Tamandua tetradactyla: one gene and its partner. The protein of the gene in region 2 interacts with the protein of the main gene of each other region in a pairwise test. Links are inferred from orthologs where the notes say so. Each region holds a gene or a part of one and is shown on either strand. Other genes may lie near its edges.

Region 1 (10,921 bases), on a different chromosome or scaffold from region 2:
TTCACCAAGGACACTGAAGTTCATAGAGTGGGTTAGAATTTACTGAGTGTTTTGCCATTTGCCAGGCACAGCCTAGTTTACAAAGCACTTCACAGTTTACTAAGCAACTTGCCATTTGCTCAGAACCTTTTGAGTCACAGAGCATGCCACAGTTTACAGGGTGTTGCTGCTGTGCTCCTGCTCCTCTCTCTGAGCTCTCACTAATCCCTCTGTGCTCTTACCTCAATGATGTGATCCCTTCCATCCTTGCCATGCAGAGCTTCCACTGCGCAAATGTCCAGTCCCCCAAAGATCTCTGAGCACGTGTCCACCCATAGCTTGTACCTGCCAAGGCATGGGGCAGGGAAACCCATCAGGGCCCTGCCTGGGTGGCTGTGTTGCCACCCTCACTCTTCTGTCCCAAGCTTGAGCAGCCCACCTGTCAGACATGGCGATCTGCTCAAGCATTGCAGAGCCAGTGTTCGTCTTCCAGTTCCCCGACACTGATGTCCTCCTGGTAGATAGGGTGAGAGAGGGTCAGAGAGGTCTGGGGTGGACGGGACAGGGCAGGGGACCCCTCCCTGGGCCTCAGTTTCCCCACTCACATGTAGGCCTTGTAGTTCTGCCCAATCTTCTGGACACGCACATCATATTTGGCATCGATGAAGGGCTCAGCAGTGGCATATGTTTTGGTCAGTGCCACAACACTTGCGATGTCCTGGAAGTCATGCTGGTTATCCACCTTGACCTGTGAGAGTGGGGGTGGAGAGCAGGGCCTGGTCAGGATTGGGGAAGCAGTGGGAGTACCTCAGGAAGTGGGAATACATGACACACAGGGGAAGTGAGTGCACAAAAATGAGGTGGACACAGTATAGTAACAGACACACCAAGGTACTCAAACACGCATAATTCTAGGCCTTCTGTTTTTTACATGAACATGCAGACACAAAGATGTATACAACTCTGTGAACATGAAAAACCCAGAATTGTACAATTTAAAAGGGTGAATTGTGTGGCATATATCTCTTAAACTGTTAAAAAATTGGATGTATACACAGTATACACACATGGGCCCCAGGCAGAACATCGGTTGTACACACAACATACAAACATACAGAAGCACTCAAACATACAAATTACAAGTCCATTTTCTAGGTACACACAGAGACAAAGTCAGATGGATGGAAGCATACAAGGACCCCAAGACCCTTGAGCATAAGGATTATGGCTGTGGATGTTCAATACAAAGGCCTTCAGATATGTGTTTACACAATGCTGGATAAACTAACAAAAATTGCACAAAATTGGCCGAGTGCAGGATAGAAAATTGGGCCCACAAGAAAAACCAGCTGAATGTAGAAAACAAATATACAAATAGATAAAGCCCGGCCTCCCCCCGTGGGAACACAATCATACAGAATTACTGATATATGCTGAATACACAAATCACATCTATATATAAACATATGATGCCAGATGCATGCACTGTGTTCAAATACACATACACATGCAAACAACCTCCTGACCCTCAGGGACTCACCTTACCCATCCCAGAGTGTGCATGTCCCATCTTCACAACCACAGGGTACGTTGTACTGCTGAGCTGAGTAGGGTGAAAAGACAGAGGAGGTCCAATCAGGGTAGGAGGGCCCTGTGCCAGGGGCAAGAGTGGTGCGCAGGGGAACCCATCCAGTGGGAACAATGTAATGGGCCATTTCCCAGAAGAGGCAGGTCAGAGACAGGCAGACAGCAGCTAGGGGTCACACAGTGCCCTTCGAGTTGGGAATTGAACCCAGAGCCCTGCCTGCCTACCCCTCCTCCCACCACCCCCAAGTCTCCAGACTTCCTGCCCATGCTTTCCCAGGAAGAAGCATGGGATAAAAGTGGGGGACTTTCCGGAAAGGGAAAGTTTGTTTTCACAGTGGGTGAATGATGGGGAGGTGAGTGTGTGTGCATGTGTGTATAGGGGTGTGGTGGTGAGCATGTGGCAACTGGACCCCACAGCTAGGCCTTGCATGCAAGCCTTGTTCCCCACCCACACAGCCTAGAGCTACACACATTCAGAACTACACAACCAAAATCAGAGATGCCCACGCACATTGAGACACGAGATTGAGAGACCCACAACCAACACAGGCTCCAAAGCACACCTAACCTCTCAGGACACCCACAACAGTCATTCATCCAGCCACATGCTCAGCACGGGAAAGTGACCAGCCTTTTTGGCCTGCCTCCTTACCCAGCAACACACACGCAACACTCCTGGACTCACAATCAACACTTTGGGGTACAGACACAACACTGCCCCCCTCCTCTCGCCTAACCACATAACAATCAGAGGGACTCACACGATAACCCAGGCAACACAGAAACAATCCTCAGGGGCACAGCCAAAGGATACAAAGGCACATACAGCTCTGACAGGCACAGATACAAAATTGGACACATCTTCACTCACAGGCACACATATCACACCCTCAGGTACCTGCAAAACAAACAGAAGGACCTGCACAACAGAGGTACACACACATAATTCTAGGTGTTCACATAGCCGCTGCAATCCACACCACACTCCTGGACACTAAAAGTATATTTGGACGCACACAGCATGCCTTGCCATATACACAACACAGAGAGGCATACAAATGGTCAGGGACATCCCCAGTACTCCTAAGTACAAAGCTAGCACTCTTGGGTGTGTGCACACAACATTCCTAAAGCGCATGTGCACGCGCGCGCATTCACATACACATACTCGGGTGTGGGGGACACCTCAAGTCTCCCCAGGCCCTGGGCGGGATAGAAGGGATGGGGTTGGATGATCCCAGCCCTGCCATAGCATGTATGCTATGCAGGGTCTCTCTTCACGCCCCTCCTGCTGTGGAGACCAGTGTCTGACAGGGTAGAGAGATGCCATTCCCGGAGGGGATGCTGGGGCGGAGGCAGTTCCCAGTTCCCGACAAGCACAGGAAGCCCGCAGGCTCAGAGTGACCGACTGACCTTCAGACCTCACCCTCCCTCTGCCTCACCTCCCCCCCACTCCACGTTCCTCATTTCCCAAATGACTGACGTCATTATGGGGGGGGGGGGGTAGTGCTGAGAGGCTCAGTGTTGGGATGGGGTATTCCGGGTCCTCTAGGTAGCTTGCCAGGGAAACAATGCAGAGGCATGCACATGATGTAACCCTGAGGCATACACCCAGCACACAGAGAGGGAATCAAACTTTCACAATTACATAGACAACACAGATACAAAGGCAGAAACACAACTCCCAGAAGCAACAGAACACACAGGGATATACAAAACACTCAGGTAGGCATGTGACTCTCAGAAACAGACACATAAGTCTCAGAAGCACACACACAACTTTCTTAAGCACACATACAACTCTGAGGCACACATAATTCTTAGAAGCACATGCACAATTCTCAGAGGCACACACACACACTCTCAGAGGCACACTCAACTCTCAGAGGCACACACACAACTCTCAGAGGCACATACACAGAAGTCTGAGAAGCACACAGTGTTAGAGGCTGAAACATACCAGACGGCTACTCACACACATGCACACACCCCAAGGTTTCTAGATCCTTCTTTTCAAAAACAGCCCTTGTTTCCTCTGAACCTGAACACAAGACTGTGTATATGTGCCTTCACATGTGTGTGCATGAATGGACCTTTAGATCTGGGGTCCTCCTGGAGAGTTCTCAAATCTTGGCCTCTCTTCTTCCTAAGGCCATGTAGGATCCCAAGAAAGTCACTTAACCCCTCTCTGTGCCTCAGTTTCCTGATCTGTACAAAGGACATAGTCAAACCCAAGCTCTTGTTATGTTGTGGGGATTGTTGAGTGTTAGCTGTGCAGCCACCAGCTGGACATCAAGGGCCCCCACCCCCATCCGGCTCCTCAGATTATCCAACACCCAGACACCCTGCTACAAAACTTCACTGATTTCACAATGTGTGTGATAACCCAGACCAACACAGCCCCTCACATCTAAGTAGCAAACTGTGCTGACGTACGTTTCACAGAAACAGAACTAGGGTCAGCGAGGGGCTGCAGCAGAAATTTCCCTTCCCTCACTTCTCCCTCAGTCACGCTACTGACTTACTCAACCCCATCTCATTCACTTTTACTACCCCCAGGCACTCATCCACTTTCACAGCTAGCTTCTCCAAGGTCTTGGTTTACTGCCGCCTCTCCTGCCCTTCAAGAAAGTAATTTCTTCATTCATTTCTAGGAAGGTCACTCAGCCCCTTTGTGTCTCAGTTTCTTCATCTAACTCACTGGAATGTTGCTGAAGAATAAATTCGTTATTTCCAGTGTAGGGGAGGGGAATTTAGCCCAGTATCTGGCTGGCATAAAGAAAGTCTCAATCGTCAACCAATGTTGGACATTGTTATTATTATTAGTTTAATATCCCTTCATAACCAGCATTCTTTAACAAGGTAATCTAATTGGGATTGACTGAATGAGATAATGAACATACAAAGACTTTGAAAGGATGCTTGATACCTAGTAATCTCGAACTGTGAAGGCTAGTTGATGTCATCCTCCTTACTATTGGTCTAGGTGCCCTGAGTTAATCTAGTTTAATTAGCAAAGGGGGAATGGAGATTAAATAAAATAATTTACACAAAGACTTTAGGGCACAGTATACAGTAAGTGCTCAATAAGTGGCGGCTATTAGCACTATCATCTTCGTTATTATTGGTCTACTGTCCCTGAATTAACCAGGGATGTTAACCAGCTCTCAGGCCCCCAGAACCCCAGGGAAGATTCAGGCATTATCTGGAGGCTGGTGGGCAGTGATTGCCTCACCTCATGCCCCACCAGGGCTGTGGGAGGGTTGGTGGGGAAGGGGCAGGGCAGGATGGGGTGGGGATCAGTTTTCTACTGACTCACTGGCCTCTTTCACCACATTCTACTCTCTCCCTCCATTCCCTCCTTGCCAGGACTGTGCCCCGCCTGGGTTAAGAGCCTGGTGCTAGTGAGCTAGTTCAAATCCCAGCCATAACTTGTGACTCTGAGAAGGTTCTTCAGTCCTTTCTATGCCTCATAGTTTCTCATCTGTAAAATGGGAATACTACAAATACTATCTGAATTTTAAACGAGATAAACTAGGCTGACTGCCTGGCAAACAGTAGTTGCCATATAAATGCTGGCTATTTGCCTATGTTTTTTGAGGGTGGGTTAAGACCCAGCTCAGTGAAATCCCAATTCTCCCCCTAATGAATTCTGTGATCTTGGATAAGTCACTTAACCACTCTGTGCTTCAGTTTCTCCACCTTGTATTCCTCCAAGTCCCTTATCTCCTTCACTGCTTTGACTTGATTGGTTTCTCTCCGCCTCCCCTGCTCTTCACCAGAATGTCAGGAAAGGGTTTTCTGTGCATGTGCTTGGCACACAGTAGGTGCACAATAATAAATGCTTGTTGAAGGAATAAACTAATTAGGATTTCAGCCATCCCTGTGGCTGAGGAATGTGGAAGGGGTCTGGAAATTTGAGAGGACTTGGAGGAATCCTGCCTCTAAGCGCTCCATTGAGCCTGCTCGAAAGGACTGGTGCTCCACGTGGAAATGGGGGAGGGGGAAGGCTAGGGCCTGAGGCCCCGGGGGGAGGGAGAGGAGGAGGGTGCAGCCCCTTTTCCGCAGCCCAGCGGCCCGCCCCTTGGCCTCTGCAGTGATGGTGGGCGGATGAGTAATGCATCCAGGAAGCCTGGACGCCTGTGGTTTCCGCGCCGTTGCCACCCCCGCCCCTCGCACGGGCATTTATCCTGTACCGCTCAGACCCTGCCGCCATCTCCGCAGACCCATCGCCTAGAGAGACACCAGAGGTAGGCAAGGGGCCTGGGTGGCACTGCAGAGCCTGGGGCTGGGCGGGAGCTTAAACGGCAACCAGGTCTGTCCATTTCTGTGACCACGGTCTGGCTGTGGGCATCAGGATCCTGGGCTGGTCAAGGGAGAAAAGGGTGGAAGGAACTGATCCTCTACCCACACCCCCTCCCAAAACTCTCTCTACCCCTTATATCCATACCTGTGACCCCTTAATACCACAAACTCCTCCCAACCTACCAACTCCCCTAAATTCCTCCAGTTCCCATTTCCCAAACTTGTCAAACTTCAACCCCCTAAATCTGAAAACTTCCTCTACCCCCAAATCCCCCAAGCACTCTACCCCCTTCACCCCCCAAACTCCGTCAATTCCCTAAATCCCCAACCTCCAAATTCTTTAACCTTCCTAAACCTTAAACTTCCCTAGCCACCTATACCTCTCAAAGTCTACAGCCTCTAAATAATTCCCAACCTCCCCCAAACTCCTCCAGCCCCCAAACCCCAAATTCCTTACCTCCAAATTCTCCCAATTCCCCTAAATCCTCAAATTCCCCTAGTCCCCTTAAACTCTGCAGCCCTCTAATCCCCCAATTCACCAGAACTTCACAGCCCCCTAAACTCTCCCAACCCGCTAAACTTCTTTGAGTCCTCCACATCCCCAAGCCCCTTAAAATCCTCCAAATCCTCCTCCAGGACGTACTGGGGTAGATTGGGGTAGGAAGCCTGCCCAGGCCAGCAGATCAGTTAGGCTGGGAGCCTACTGACCTCCCCTCCCCTCCCTTCCCCTCCCCTCCCCTCCCACAGAACACATCATGGCCCCCTGCACATCCCTGGCCTCTGGTATCCTGTTGTTGCTGTGGCTGATAGTCCCCAGCAGAGCCTGCACCTGTGCCGCACTCCACCCGCAGACAGCCTTCTGCACCTCGGACCTTGGTGAGTGTGCACCCCATGCTGCCCATACACTCCATGTTTCTGTTCCCTCTTAGTCTGATTAGGTTGACAGTGGCACACCCAGCTGAAGAACAAGATTCCACCCATCCTTCCACTTACTCTGCTCTAGCCACACTGGTCTCCTCCCACTTACGTGAGTACACCAGGCTCAGTCCCACCTCAGGGCCCTTATACTGGCTGCTCCCTCTGCCTGGTACACCCTTCCCTCCGGGTATCCATATGGGTGACTGCCTCAAATGTCACCTTCTCAGGGCAGCCTTCCCTGACTGCCCTATTTAAAAATTTAGCCCCTGCTCCCTAGTACTCCTGAACAGCCCCCCTCCCCCACCTCTGGAATTCTCTACCACACTTAATACCTTCCAACATCCCATATACTTATTTATTTTGCTTGTTTCTAGTCTGTCTCCCCCCTTGGCTAGCATGTGAACTCCACAAGGGAAGGGATTTTTGTGTTTTGTTCACTGTTGTGTCCCTACCACCCAGAACAGTGCTTGGCACAGAGTGGGTGCTCCAAAATATTTGTGGGGAAAATGACAAAGGGATATATGAACAAGGCTTAGAGCAGTGCCTGGCAAAGAGTAGGCTGTCAATATTCGGATGGATCCATTAACCGGATGGATCCATTAACAAAGGCATAAAGCGCTAGTGTGCTGTTGGCCAGTCAGTAATCCCTATTTAAGAATGTGCTCTGCTAGTTTTATTATTGTGATTATTTAATTTTTATTGTCTGCGTGCCGTCCATTTGACTCCTTTCCCTTTTCTCCTGCAGTCATCCGGGCCAAGTTCGTAGGGCCCGCAGAAATCAACCAGACCTCCCTACACCAGCGTTATGAAATCAAGATGACCAAGGTATTCCTCCTACCCGTTCCCCAGCAATTCCTAACATCTACCTCCCCATCAAAATAGAAGCCTGAGGCTACAGGTCGAGGAGGAAGTTGGCTGTGATCTCAGGATGTTGTAGGACTTCAGCAGAACATGGAGCGGGAGATTATATCAGTAAAACAGAGATTTTTCCCTTCATCCATCAACAGATGTTCAAAGGGTTCGATGCCTTGGGGGATGCTCCTGATATCCGGTTCATCTACACTCCAGCCATGGAGAGCGTCTGCGGATACTTCCACCGGTCCCAGAACCGAAGCCAGGAGTTTCTCATCGCTGGTGAGGTCCCTCCCTGTGCCACGCCAACCCATAGCTCGGACGTTGCCTAGCAACCGCGGGGAGGGGGAGCGAGGTTTTCAAAGATCCCAGTTGAAACGGGGACCGCCCTAATTTCAGCCTATCAGAAGGCAGGGGCTTTCGTGCACGAGGGACGCCAATCAGGCGCCGCCCTTGCCCTGGGCCAGCCAATCAGAAGCTTCCTGTTGACTCTCTCCCTCTGCCCGTTCCAGGACGCCTGCAGGAGGGAGGCTTGTACATCACTACCTGCAGCTTCGTGGTTCCCTGGAGCAGTCTGAGCTTTGCTCAGCGCCGGGGCTTCACCAAGGCCTACTCTGCTGGCTGTGAGGAGTGCACAGTGAGTGCTTGGGCCCTGCTGTCATCCTGGAGATAGTTCCTTGGGCTCGTCCCCAAACCCTGGGATTGTTTCTTACTCCTCTGGCGACTTCTTATCCCTAAGGCTGCTCCCCAAATCCTAGGACCTTCCCTGATCTCTCGCTATTCCCCCAAACTTGAGGCTATTTCCTTGGAAATTCTGATTGTTCCCTTGCCCTGTGTCTGATACCTTGGGATTGGCTGTTCCCTGTTCTTCCCACTCTTTCTTGCGACTTTTCTCCAGTCCCTCTGTCTGTCCCAACCTTCTGGATTCCCTGGAATGTTCTCCAAGAACCCCAAGTGCTATTCCTCAAATCCACTGATTGTATTCTAGCACATCTGATTGTTGCTCTGCTCTACAACCTTGACTTTCCTGACACAAGGGACTGTTACCTTGATTTTCTGACTGTTCCAAGACTGTTCCCTCATGGCTCAGAGTTGTCCTCTGATGCCCCACTGGCTAAGTTTGCCAGCCACCTCCTGTTCCCTACTACTGTCAGTTGTTCACTATCCTTTGGACTGTTTGCCAGGAGACCTCCCTGCCTGACCCCCACCTAGTAACTGTCCTCAATCACCATTCCCAGAAAACTGGACCTTTCACTGGCTTAACATTACCCTGCAGAGATCAATGGCTGTTCCCCTCCAATGGGATGGGCTGTTCTTGAGTCTGTGCCAGGTGGGGCACAGACTCCCTGGAAACTTGATGATTAACGTTAAGGAGGGGAAAGTTCTGCCCCATGGGGATGGTAGGGGAGGGCTTCTCTGAGATGTGCCACCCTTCTCTCCTCCAGGTGTTTCCTTGTTTATCCATCCCCTGCAAGCTGGAGAGCGATACTCATTGCCTGTGGACTGACCTGTTCCTCACAAGCTCTGAGAACAGCTTCCAGAGCCGCCACCTTGCTTGCCTTCCACGGGAGGCAGGGCTGTGTACCTGGCAGTCCCTACAGCCCCGAATGGCCTGAATCCTACTCCCAGCAGAAACCTGAGCCTGCCCAGTGTTCACCCCCTTTCCAACTCCCATCTTTCTCCCCGATAATGAAATAAAAAGAACTACCACCCAGCAGGCAGTGTCCATGTGTCTTGTTCCACACAAACATATTTCACTGATGACCTGGTGGCGGCATTCTGACCAAAGTTGTGGGGGTGAGGGCTGCAAAATTAGTGTTTTTTAAAAATATTTTACATAAAGTTTGATATTTTGGTAATAATTCTCAACACTGACATTAACATTGGTGACCTACAACATGATTTTTTTAAATTAGAGAACTTGTACTTTGGCAGAAAAATCATGCTTAAATACAGAGTTCCCATATACCACCCTATTATTAACATCTTGCATTAGTGTGGAACATTTGGTACAATTCAGGAATGGTAATTTAACCTGCATTATCAACCACAGCTTACTGCATAGTTTCTCTAGACAATAGTTTAAAATGTTCTAATGTACTAATTTATAATTCCTATTTGCACAGGGCTCTCTAGTTTATACATTCTTCCCACTGCTGACAAATCACTATCTCAATAGTAAATTCCCCTAGTCACAAATGTCTCTAGATAACAAGCTCAATGACAGATGCCCTATGGATTGGCAAATAGCTCTCCTTGCCTCAAGCATTGTCCTGATGTCAAGTGAGGGTGTCCCATCTAAACCTGTGGGTGCTAATGTTTCCACCCTTAGGGTTGAATATATATATATATAAAATATATATACATATATCATTTTTTTAATTGGAGAAGTAGGTTTACAGAAAAATCACAGAAAATATAGAGTCCTACCTTAGGTCTTGTACTGTGAGTCTGATTTGAGTGAAAGGGGGAACCTCCAGAGAACAAGAGCCCGCAACATAACCTTGCTGAGGAATTTGGAAGAAAGTAACTCTGCCACCCACGACCACCCGTGGCCTGTAGGAGATTCCTTGAAAGTGGTATGGGAATAGGAGGGATGGGATGGGGTGAGGTTGTGTTCTCACAATCCCCAACCTCTGCCCTGCTTTTTCCGCTTCTCCAGATCCTACCTCTCCTCTCCTCACTGCTCTGACCAACTCTGAAGAAATTATTTACAATAATAAAATACACCTAAGGTTCAAAATCAGGACCATCCAGGTATGCCATCCACCTGCTGCACACACCTCCCGCTGCACAGCTGCCCCCTCCCCCAAAAACGAGCCTCTAGATCTGACCCTCACTTCTCTGGTTCATCTTCCTCCATAAAACCTGGGTGAGGGACCTTTCAAACACTCCCTTCCTTAGGCCTTCCTGTAATCTCCAGTTGGGCCTAGGCTCCTTTGGGCCCTTCACCGTCCTTAGCTATTGGTCCTTATATTCCAGAAGACCTCAGATTCAAATGAGATCACTGGGGAACCAGAATTTCAGACTGTTGGAAACACTCAATGGACCACCCAGGAGTCTTATTAGTTTGAATAAAAGACTTCAGTATATCTTCTTCGGTGAAGAAAAGGACACTCAAATTCTCTCCCACTACTCTAGACCTACCAGTAACCCAGGGCACCCTCAGGACATTCTGGGCCACCAAGGTGGCCCTCTGGATCCTCTCTGGTCCTGCCCTAGAGTCTTTTGCACCCCTGGAAGGTTCTTCCAGGGCCCAACGTATATGCTGGATCAGGAC
Region 2 (11,872 bases):
TGCTCGCCTGGGTCCTTCCCAAGCCTGCCCAGGCAGTCTCCTGAATGTGGCCTTCCTGCAAGAGATTGTTCTTCAAGGGAAAGGACTAAGTCTGATCCCCATCCTGGTACTGCCTGGTGCCTGACACAAAGCAGATACTCAATAAATGTGTATTGTTAAAAAATAAATTATTAATAACATAGGTGGGTAGAAATGAGGGTACCCAGTGGGAGACTATCCCCATTTAAGTGTTAATTAACCTAGGCTGACTATTGCCCAGGGTCTCTGGCCTGGGTGGTGGTGGGCGGTGACAAGGAGACAGTGTCCTATCTATAAGTAATCTCCTTTAAAGCTTGCCTGGAGGAATGGCCACAAGAGGGCACTTCATACAGTTTCCTTGATTTCCTAGTTAGAGTAAAGTAGCAATTCAGTGTTTGGAGTGGGAATGGCCTTTCTCTCTTTTTCTCCAGGGCTGGGGGAAAGGAGGGGGTTGAGGAGAGAGAGTTAAGGGGTGTCAGAGCCAGGATAAGAGCCAGAACCTAAGTTCTCCCGTGACCCCAATCTAATGGACACAAGACAGCTTATTGCCACTGTGAAAAAAGTTGGGTCCCCTTGAGGACTGGTAGGGTTGGGGACTGTTGGGCCCTTAGAGGTAGGTAGAAGCCAGAGAGATGTCCAACGTGGATGTGGGCTGGGCTTTCCAAAGTAGGACCTTTTTGGAGAATCCTTTTGATTTATGTAAGAGATGACTTCAGAAATGTTTCAGCAGGAGCCTGGTCACCAGCCTAGGTGGACAGGGGAGGACACTGGACCACATTCTCCCCAGATTTCCCCTTCCACTTGCCAGCTGATCCATTGTCTTCAGCAAACATTCTCTTTCCCCAAATACCCCCCAAAATAGGCCTGCCTTTCCCTAGAGGTGTGAAGAGAACAGTCCCCAAGGACAAAGAACTTGGATAAGGAGAGGGAAGGGACAAAATATCATTCTTTAAGACATACTGAGACTGTCTCTTTTTGGTCTGAAAAAATAATCCGTTTAATTGAAAAACCTGGTGTTTACTATTCCACTCCCCTAAATGAGGGGGCTGAGACCAGACCCCCTACATCACCTCATAGCCCCTTCTGATACTCTTCACAAGGTAGCAGGCAAGGACAATTCCCAGGACCTGGAAGAAAAGATGAAGAGGTGACATGGAAGAGTGTTGGTGAGGAGCCAGAAGGGCAGTGAACCCCCCAAAAATTCAAGGGATGCCAAACCCACCCAGGACTCCCTGCCCCAGGCCAGTAACTCCTCCTTGGCACCCTCCTCCCCACTGCTGCTGCTCCTCAGAGGCCACTGAGTCCCAGCCCCTGCTCAGAGTACCTCTCACCTCCACAAAGGCAATGCCCAAGGCTGCTGCAGCCACCAACAACACATTGCTCCTCAGCCAGTTCCCGATAAGCTGCACACAGCCCTGAGGGATGGGAAGTGCACAAGGAAAACCTTATAAGACACTTTCCACCCACCTCCCCTGGGCCATCTCTTTCCACCCCTAGCATACCTGAACCCCTTCCCATCCCTGACATTGAACTTCCCAGAGCCCAAACCCTCTCCACCTCCAATCCTTTGTCTCCCTTGCCTCTTGAAATACTTCCCAGGTTTCCTAAGTCCCTTACTATCTCAGCCACTTCCTTACCTTGGTATAGATATTTTCTGGCTTGAAATTAATCCCACAGTTATGAGTGACATTGATGCAGCAGGAGTCAGGGACTCTGCCCATGGGTTGCAGAGGGATGGCATTCCAGTCTGAATAATTAGTCGCCCCACAGCACTCAAACTGGAAGAAGGGAGAGATAGGAGTGAGACAGTTATCAAGTGAACCTCCACTTTCAGTGTGGAGATGAGATTCCTCTTCTCCCACTACCCCTTTTCCTAGGAACTCCACTCACCTTTTTCTGCATACGGTCCAGGAATGAAGCAGTTTGGTTGTTTTTTGGATAATCCTGCATGTACTCCTGGAAGTCCTTGCTAAACTTTGACATCACCTAGAAGTGGGGAGGAGAGCTGCCGAGGTCAGAAATCAGAGGATCTGAGTCCCAGAGCAGCCACACCTCTGAAACAGGGCCCTCCCCTTATTCCTCACTTACCTTTTCTCTAAACACATAGCCAGCAATGGCTGCAGCCACCTCCACCAGCATGATAAGAGACAGGAAGATGGCAAACTACAGATACAAGGAATAGAAGCTAGATTTGGAGTCTATGGGTGAGAGGGTCTGCTCTAGCCCAGCCACTCCCTGAAACATTTGCAAAGAGGTCTTCCATCTCATGCACCCTTTTCCATCCCCACCACAGAAATGCCCTTCCTTGGGCCCAAGCACCCATGCTGGCCCCACTTTACTCACCGTGATCACAAGACAGTAGTTCTCCTTGCAGACCCCACAGCAGCCCATAAAGGCCACGAAGAAGAGGAAGACACCTAGGGCAATGATGACCATGGACAGCAGGAAGCCAGTAGTGTTTCCCTGAGTAATGATCTGCCTCAGGACAATCTGGGCTCCCACACCCACAGCAATCAGCCCTACTGCACAGGCCTGGGAGAAGAGCAGTCAGCGTTAGGCCAGACCCACATCCCAGTAGCCCTCCTATGGTGGGTACCATGGAGGAAAAAGACTTGATCCCACCCTGGAAAGGGAGATTCTCACACCTCCACTGAAACTTTTGACTGTGTGGGAGAGGGTGGCCCATCCTTGCCCCATGGTGAAGTCTAAGGAGTTTATTCAAAGCACTCAGGGAGAAGGGAGTTGGGAGTCACGCTTTCCTTCAGGCTGCTCTTTAACCACCGGAATTTGCATAAAGCAAAAGTGGAAGTTCTCAGAAAGCCATGACCCCAGGGCAGACTCCTGACCAAGAGTGGGTGTTTCCGATGAGAATTCAGGCTCAGACCTCTCCCAGAACCGCCCCTCTCCATTGCCTACCCCACACCCATTAGCTGTGGCCATGGTTCCTTCCTAGGCCAGGGAAGGGAAGAGGGGAACAAAAGGGGTCAAGAGTGGTCTGCCCCTCCTTGGACAGTAGCCTCACAAGCCAAGAGCCCAGGGCAGGAGTAAGATGAGATGAGCAGAGCCCTCCCCTGTCCCCAAGCAGCTGAGAAGGGTGAAGGAGGATAAGAGGATGGGGAGGAATGAAGGGTGAAAGGGAAGAAAGGGTGGAGGAGGATGGGAAGCTGAAGGAAGCCCCGTGGCGATAACATCAGGCCGTTGGCTGGTTACCCCACTGCCCTATATCACAAGTGGTTGGGTCACAGGCAGGAAGAGCCAGGAGGGGTTAGGGCTAAGATGTTAAGCACCCAGCTGGCTATTCTCGGTCCAAACACGCCTCAGGGATCCCCACAGTTGTGAGGGAGGGGGCGCTGAGCTGTCTTTGGCCCGGGGCTTGCCACATCTGGTCTCCAGCTGCCTCCATTCTACCTCCCTCGGCCCTCCCCACTCTGGAGCCAGGTTTCCCCGCACCCTGTTATCGCCGCACCACCACCACCACCACCTCCCCGCCCCTCCTCTCCACTCACGCAAAAAGCCACCAGAAGAACGTAGAGCAAGAACTTGACACATTTCATTCCTCCGTCCACCGCCATGGCTGCGAGGACAGACGGGAGGGCTGGGGGATTAGAACCCGCCGACGCGGGGGCGCGGTTTCCGGGCTCTCGGCCCGCCCTGGAGGCCTTCCCTGCCGGGCCTCCATTCCCGGCCCCGCCCACCCGGAAACCAGCGGTCAGATCCACGTCTCCCAGGCCCCTCTCCCCCCACTTACAAAAGGGCTGGGGACTACGGCCGCAAAGCCGGGACCCCAGCCCGCCGCTTCCCGGGGGCTCAGGCCTGACGCCGACTCTCTGCCCACCCCTTCCCCGCCAACCAGCCTCCAAAATGATCCCCAGCCCAAGACTGCCTCCCAGGCCACTTTCCCCGGTGTTCTAACCTCACCATCCACCCCACCCCCAAAAAGAACAAAAAGTTCGGCCAGCACCCTCCCTCCCGCCTCGCCCGGACTCTGGAACTTGAAAGCAAAGTTGCTCGAGGGCAACGGAAGCGGCCGGACTGCGCCGGACAGACGTTCGGCGGCTCGCGGCGCGCCCCGGGAGGAAGGAGCCGCCCCGCGGGCTCCCCCGCCCCGCTCCGAAGCCTTCCGTGGGCCCCGCGGCCTCACCTGGGCTCCCCGAGGCTCTGCGCTCCTCTCTCGCCGCGGCTGAGGGGCTCTCGAGCAGCTCTTGAGCGGCTCGCCCGGCCCCGCCCGCGCCGCGGCCCCGCCCCGGACTCCAGCCGCAGCCCTTTCCCCGCCTCCGCCTCGCCCGGGGGGCCGCCAGCCTCCCTCATGTGACGCGGGAACAGCCGCGGCCTGAGTCACCCGGGCCTGCAAAAGGAGGGCCGAGCCCCCAGCCCTCTCAGGGCCACGTACCCCCACCCACAAAACGGCGTCCAGCTCTGCAAAGGGTCGGCATCAAGGGCAGGACCTCAGGGCTCTGGGACCCTCTGGCACCCTCAACCCCGTGCCAGCCCGAGTTGGAGCGCGGGACCAAACGCCTCCTGGTTTTCTGTGGTTCCGAGAAGCGGGGAAGGAGGTGGGTGAGAGCCCAAGGAGGGATGGGCGACCCGGTTACCCTCTGAGCATCCAAGCGGCAGAGCTTCTAACCACTATCTGTAGTTGTTTCAACTTGTTATTGTAATGGTTATTTTAGCATGGTTCCACTCCTTTACATACTATAGTTTACACTTGTTATTGTAATGGTTACTTCCCACTCCTTTACATGGTGCTGTAGTTTGTGCTCGTTAATCGTAATGGTTACTTACTTAATTCAGTTACTTTTCATTGTAATGGTAGCAACTCCATCTCCCATTGCTTGAATCCATAAAAACCCTAAACAGATTTGAGGTTTTTCTTACTCCTGTCTCCTTTCTTGGTGGCGGTGAAATAAGGCCCTTTCTCTCTCTGAAGCACGGATGTCACTACATTTATTTCAGTGCGAATCTGACAGTGAACTTGCCGTTTTCTGCCTCAAGCTCAGGCAGAGACAAGATGGATTGCGGAGGCCTCCTCATCTTTAACCCAGAGCTGGCCCCCTGCCTCTCCTCCGCCTCCAACTTCGTTCAAGTCCCCACCCATCCCCTGGTCAGCAGAAGTTTATGTGAACTGCCCAGGATCAAGTTCTGTATTTCTGTAAATACTTCCAGAAAGCCCCTGGCCTCACTTCCCTGAGAGTCTCCCTACATTCTAGAGTGGGAATGCCTGTTCCCCGTCTCTGTTAGAACAGCTTCTGTTTTCCAAGGCCCCTGGGCAGTAGGCTGAGAAGGGGCAATGCCCCACCCCCACCCCACCCAGTCAATCATGACACATCAAAGTTCCTCTGGTGGGGAGGGAGGTTGGCAAAATCTGTGCTCCTAGCATTCCTGGAGTAGCTGATTTGGGGGGAGAAATGGGGGCCCCTAAGACACCCCATCCTAGCAAGTAAAACTTATTTTATTATCCTAGAAAGCAAAACCAGGTGACGGTGGCTGGAAGGAGAGGTGGTGGGCTAAAGCTGCCTTCTCCCTTCTGTGGGGGGTTGGGGAGGGGCCCAACCCCCCACAGAAGGAGGTCCCCAGAAGGAGGAGGGGTAAACAGGCAAAGGAGTAGAGCAGCCATCAGACTCCTACTTCCCCAGCCAGAACCCCACCACTTAGGTTCTTATGGTCCTGCCTCAAGAACCACTTCCTGAGTTATGGAGTGTGTGTGTGTGTGTGTGTGTGTGTGTGTGTGTGTGTGTACCCAAAGGAGGGGGAAAAAAAACTGTAAGAGCAAAAGGAAAGAGATCTGGGCTGGGCTGAGAACAAATTTCCAGGATCACAATCCTTCTGGCAGAACACACCAAGTTGGTTTTGGACCTTACTCCCTGTTAAAATTGCAGGCAGGCTGTAGAGAATGCTGAAGAAAGAAATATTCATCAGTTTTGTTTTTTGTTTTTATTGCACTGCCATTCGATGCTGGGCATATGCCACATTCCAGGGGCAACATGAAGACGAAGACAGTAGTCCTGCCCTCGGGCAGGATCAAGCCAGTGCTGTGAAGAGGGGCAGAGGCCTCCAATGGCAGCTGGACAAACTCAGAGGGATGGACAGGTGGGGCCTCTACTGAATGAAGAAGAATAGGTTTCACAGAAGCAGTAGTGTTCTCTGAGGTGACCTTGGAAAATAAGAAGCAAGCTCCATTTCAGGGCAAAAAAAGGGGTAATCTAAAAAGTACATGGCAGGCTGGATTTGGCTGTTTAAAAGGTTCAGGGAAGGATGTAGTGAAAGATGGATGGAAAGGTGGTCTGAATGATCAAGCTTGAGAGACCAACCAAGTACAATACTTAGTCCTTGATAGAATCTTTGAACAAACCAGCTGTGAAAGGCATTTGAATATGAACTGAGAATTCAACATCAGGAAATTATTTGTGTTAGCTGTGATAATGATGTTATGTTTATGTAAAAGAATTACCTTATTCTTTAAAGATGCATACTAAAATATTGAAGGGCAAAACGTCATGTCTGTAATTTGATTGAGAGTACTTCTCAACAGGAAGCAAAAAGGAAAGTTGTCCAGGTTTTAGGACTGTTGAGGACCAGGAGGGCCACTGGGTAGCTTGACCAATGTTCTACAGGCAATGAAGAGTAGTAGAAAGTTTTAGATCCGTCGGGTGACACTATCTTGGGATTGAACACCACATCAGAATGAGGAGGAATGAATGTCAGGTGGCCTGGAGGAAAGCTAGAACATCAATGCCATGGTCCAAGGGAGACAGTGAGGGCTGGAACCAAGGAGAAGCCAGAAAAGAAAGGAGGGAAATATGACCAGCATTTCAGAGGGCGAATCAAAGGACTGGGTGACTGTTTACATGTGGAAGGAGGAGGAGACAAGTGAGAAGAGTCAGCGACGACTTGGAGCTTCTGAAACTGGATGCCCAGGGGAGGAGGAGGTGGTCACCCAAGGCAGCAGGCACCTGAAGGGCAGTGAAGGGTTACCAGGAGTTGGGTTTATGAAGCTCAGGAGAGGAATCAGACTAGAGATAAGTGATATCTGAAGCGATGAGTGGATGAGAGTCAGAGCAAGAGAAGAAGACAGAAGCAGAGTCACAGGGAACCCTTACAGTTAAGGAACACGTGGATAGGGGTTAGGAGCCTGTCAAGAGACTGCAAGGGAAAGGAACTTGCAAAACCGGACCTCTGTGCTATGCCAGAACTGGGCATCTATATCCATTAGCACATGTAATCCTGAAAACAACCCTGTTAGGTCAGTATTATTTTACCTATTTTAGACATGAGGAAACTGAGGCTAAAAGAAATGAAATAGCATATCCGGAGTCCAAGGCAGTAAAGGGCAGTGTTAGAATTTGAACCCAGATCTCTTGGGGTTCCAAAATGCTTTTCTCTTTTTCTCTAGGAGGCCAAGAGAAAAGAGAGCTTCAAGGCAAGAGGAGAGGACAGTGGCCAAAAGTCTCCAAAAGTGCAGAGAGGACAAGATGACTGAAGTGTTCATTGGATGAGGCGGCTTCTCCAGAGCAGTGTTAGGCAGGGTCTGGAGCACCTGCTATGGACCAAGGAATGAGGAGGAAATGGAGCCATCTGGATAGGCACAGGAAGAACTAAAGTAAGGGGGCCAGGAGAATGGGACCCTCCTAAAGGAACACCAGGGCAAGAAGCTGAGAGCAAACTGTGGAAGATGCAAAGCAATGACAACAACTTGGTAAAGCAAAGGGGAGAGGAAAGATGGTGCAGGGGCATAGATACACCCTCCCACCCTGCCCCCCAGCAAATATGCTTGTGGAAGGGAGGGAGCGAGAATAGCCTATTTTTATAGCCTGGTGAGTCAGCACAGAGCCCTGGGTGCCTGCTGGACTTCGGGGAAGAGGGGCTGTGAGTGAGAATGTGGCTGACCATGGGCCTGGACCTTCCTGTCACATCCTTCAGAGCCTCCCACACCTGCTTTAGGCGTCAGGCATCTAGATATGCCACCAAGCTGACCCGGTTTGCCCAGGCTGCTGCCCCTTAGGTGCCTGGCACTGGCTGGTGGTAGGTGAACTGGGATAGACACCCTTGTCCCTCCCCACAAAGCAAGGCCAGGCTGCTCTCCAGCTCCACCATGCCCCCACCTAGGGCCAGCTGCAGGGCATGGGGGCCACAAGTGACCCAAACAAAGGTGGCACCTTCTGAGAGCATGTCAGACTCAGTGACCCTAAAAAAATCTTTGAGGCACACACTCATCCCGTCTCCATTCCCCAAACACAAGCACTTTGGCTCTCTCCTCCCAACTTCTCCTAGAGGGCCTTGGGGCTAAAAAGGTTAACAAAGCTGCCTAGAGACCCAAGCAGGATAATTACAGGGTTTAAAAAGTGGTGTGCAGGGAGGATGGTAATTACACTGTGAGGTCCTCCCTGGAGGCTCCAGGGTTTGTGGGCAGAGGCCTAGGAAGGGTCCATTACACAAACCTACCTCCTCCAGCCCAGAATAGCCTCTCCACACACCCCCAGAGGCTGACGCTGGGAGGGCAGGAGAATGGACAAGCAAGCCCCATAGGGAAGCCCCACCTCCTCTGGTACATCCCAACGACCTAGCCCCCTCCCCTCCTTGGAAAGACCCGTTGTGCAAGGGAATGGGTCCACTAACATCTCCTTCCCACCCTCCACCCCCCCACCCCCCAAAATAGGACCTTTAGGAAGAAAAAGTGAAAAGGGATGAGATTAGGGCTCCTCCCCGAGGAAGAAAGAAAGTTTGCGACTCCTCACTGAGCGCAGCACTATAGCTGATGGCCAGGGCAGTTTTGGTGTGGGGAAGATGTTCTGCAAGGGGTGCAGGACAGCAAGATGGCTCCCTCCTCCTTACAGTGATTTCTCCGTTCTGTCAGTCGCAGCTCTGACAGTGGCTGGGCATCTCTGGCCTCTAGCTCTGGCGACAGGCTCCCAGGACCTGCAGCAACTCTTTCTGGGAATGTAAGGGACCCTCTCCAGGAGGCTACACAGCACCTCTCTCCTTCCTTCCCGCCCCGAAACTTTGCCCCCTTCCCCAGGACACCGCCTCCTTCCTTTCCGGGTAACTCGCACTCTTCAAATCTAAGTATCTCCCTTAGGCCCAGACGAATATTTGCTATGAACCGGTCAGGACCTTGAAAGAGGCAGGCCTGAAGGTTGCCTGGGTAACGCCCAGACCTCTGAGGGGCACCCCTGGCAAGGGGACAGTTGCCTAGGAGACCAGGACAGTAGGTGGGGCCCCAAACCCTGGTAAACCTATATTGGTATCAGGAGAGGAAAGGTCTAAATGTCCAGATCTCTCCCAACTTCTTTTCCTTAAAGCCAGCCAGGTCCCCTCCTCAAGACTGAGTCTGGACAGCTGGAAACTTGAAACCCCCAAAAGAGTGCTCCTGGGGCTGGTTCCTGCAACTCTAAGGAACCAAACAGTACCAAACCTGAGGGAACTCAAAAGGAAAGAGGCATGATGACAGAGGAGTTGGGGATAGTGATAAGGCTTAATGTATTATTATATGGAACTTATCAAACTAGAAATCCAAAGTGAAAATATGCAAAGTGTGCCCCCCCCAAATGATTTTAGTCCAACCTCCAAGGAGCTGAAATTCCATATTAGACCACCAGATGGCAGTCTTGCCCACTTATTTGAATAAAGTGTAGTTCAGAAAACTGGTGGGTAAGGAACCAGGAGGTGGAAATCATTTCTCTCAAATTGTTCCTGACTCTTTCTCCCTATAATTGGCAGACACCCATAACACCTAACGGCTACAAATATACAGTTTGCGCTCCTAAACTCAGCTTCACAAGAGTGGTGACTCTGACCAGGTCTGCTTCTTAGCAGGGTTCACTCATTCCTTATTCAGAACTGCAGAGGAGCAGTACTTCGGTAAAAAAATTGTTTCTGATCTCTTGGATCTCACAATGTAATGAGGGTAATAGGTTGGGGTGATAGTAATAACTCATTCAGTATTGTGTACCAGCAGGGATTTAATCTTCATAGCCTTATGAAATAGGTATTCTATTGTTATCCCTCAAACCTTACAGATGAGGAACTGAGCGTTAAGTAACTTGTCCAAGTTCACATAGTCAGACAAGGCGGAAAGCTGGGATTTGAATCCAGGAAGCCTAGATTTAGAGTAAAAGCTGTGTGATTAACTTCCACATCACACAGAATGGTGCAGATATATCTAGGAGGGACATCATATCGAGTCTTGGAGGTCAGGAAAGGATTCCTAGAGGACATGTCTAGAATCTCATTTATACCGAGGCCTGAAGAAAGAACAAAAATGGCCCAGAGGGGCGGGCCGCGGTGGCTCAGCGGGCAAGAGTGCTTGCCTGCCATGCCGGAGGACCTCGGTTCGATTCCCGGCCCCAGCCCATGTAAAAAACAAACAAACAAACAAAATATAATAAAACAAGAAAATGTTTAAAGATGTTTCTCTTCCTTCCTTCCTTCCATCCTTCCTTCCTTCTCTCTGTCTTTCCTTCCCTTCCTCCCTCTCTCTTAAAAAAAAAAAAAAAAAAAAAAATGGCCCAGAGATTATTGCAGGGGTGGGGAAGTGGAGGTAGAAGGGAAAGTTGTCCTTGGAAGAGGAAACAACCTGTGGAAAAGTTCAAGGACAATCAAGAGAAAGAGGATGTAATGCTACATCCAAGTTTCTGGCCTGGATGATTGAGCAACATTCACTAAAATGAAAAACTGCAGGATGGCACCACTTTTCTGGAGGAGATAAAGATTTCTCTATTTTATTTAATCTATGAAATTGGAGGTACCTTGAGACAACCTGATAGAGTTATCCAGGAGGCATCTGGCCTAGAGTTTTGGCTGGTACTGTTCACCTAATGTCTTGTCTAGATTACATGTCCCCTGAAGAAAGGGGCTGTCTCTTATTTATCTTTGCATCCCTCATAGGCTTACCACTTGATAGGCATTTGATGAGGAGGTGAAAGCTGGGGTACTTTCTCTGAGGGAGCAGGGGGAGGTGACACCACCCTACCCTCAAGGAGTTTGCAGTTTTGCTGAGGAACTGATATCAGGGAAACATTTTGGTGACAAGAACATGGTGGTACATGCGGTAAAGGCAAATGCTGCTCTGGGAGGTCAGAGAAGAAAGAAAAGAAACCTGAAGAAGGAGGAGAAGAAGCATGAAGTCCACCATTGATTGATTGCTATGCACATCTCACAGCCATTTGAGGGTAGGCATTGTGATCCCCATTTCCTAGGTGAAGAAACGAAATATTGAGATCCCCATGTCTTGTGCAAAGCAAAGGAGGGAAGCAATTGTCTATGATTTTTCCATTCTGCTAGAGTCTCAGTTCCTTTTCCTCATGGAAATGGGTTCTTTCTTCAAAGCTCTGCAACTTGGTCCTAACCTAACCTTTCCCATTCACACCTAGACCTCAGTTTCTTACCACATTCTACTCGGGCTTTTCAACCCAACTCTGCCCAGTGCTCTATGAAGCCAACTTTTTTTTTTTCAGCTTTGTTGTTGTTTACAAAACAATCACGGATAAAATACAGGATTCCCATATACCCCCTATTATTAATAATACCTTACATTGGTGTAAGGTACTCTTATTTCAATTGATGAAACCACATTTTTATAATTTTACTGTTAGCTATAGTTCATGGCTTAACTAGGGTTCACTGTGTTGTGCAGTTCCGTGGATTTTAAAAATTTTTTTTTCCTTTTTAATTTCATTTCTGCTTTTTTTTTTGAATTTTTTATTCTAGTAACGTAGATACCTAAAATTTCCCCCCTTTAACCACATTCAAATATATAATTTGGTGTTGTTAAAAACTTAGTTTAAAACTCTAATTCCAGAGAGGAAACCCATGCCTCCACTATTCTGCTTGAGAAGCCCAAGAAGGAAGTTCACTTACT

Evidence for each region.
Region 1: the proteins of CD63 (region 2) and TIMP1 interact in binary tests that used the Homo sapiens proteins (3 or more experiments, as listed by UniProt). The link is inferred for Tamandua tetradactyla from reciprocal best matches to the Homo sapiens genes CD63 and TIMP1.

What each region holds. Positions count from the first base shown.
Region 1 is NC_135353.1:122,542,103-122,553,023, reverse strand, and holds TIMP1 (metalloproteinase inhibitor 1), read left to right. Parts: upstream 1-5,663; 5' UTR 5,664-5,816; intron 5,817-6,618; 5' UTR 6,619-6,626; coding exon 6,627-6,747; intron 6,748-7,534; coding exon 7,535-7,614; intron 7,615-7,796; coding exon 7,797-7,923; intron 7,924-8,153; coding exon 8,154-8,278; intron 8,279-9,086; coding exon 9,087-9,257; 3' UTR 9,258-9,355; downstream 9,356-10,921. Other genes in the region: SYN1 (synapsin-1), read right to left, coding at 222-324, 419-493, 585-727, 1,520-1,582. UniProt on the Homo sapiens protein: Metalloproteinase inhibitor that functions by forming one to one complexes with target metalloproteinases, such as collagenases, and irreversibly inactivates them by binding to their catalytic zinc cofactor.
Region 2 is NC_135333.1:122,725,791-122,737,662, forward strand, and holds CD63 (CD63 antigen), read right to left. Parts: upstream 4,275-11,872; 5' UTR 4,160-4,274; intron 3,593-4,159; 5' UTR 3,591-3,592; coding exon 3,525-3,590; intron 2,551-3,524; coding exon 2,362-2,550; intron 2,182-2,361; coding exon 2,107-2,181; intron 2,005-2,106; coding exon 1,909-2,004; intron 1,797-1,908; coding exon 1,656-1,796; intron 1,434-1,655; coding exon 1,350-1,433; intron 1,204-1,349; exon of another isoform or gene 1,146-1,203; coding exon 1,080-1,145; 3' UTR 991-1,079; downstream 1-990. Other genes in the region: RDH5 (retinol dehydrogenase 5), read left to right, coding at 1-44. UniProt on the Homo sapiens protein: Functions as a cell surface receptor for TIMP1 and plays a role in the activation of cellular signaling cascades. Plays a role in the activation of ITGB1 and integrin signaling, leading to the activation of AKT, FAK/PTK2 and MAP kinases.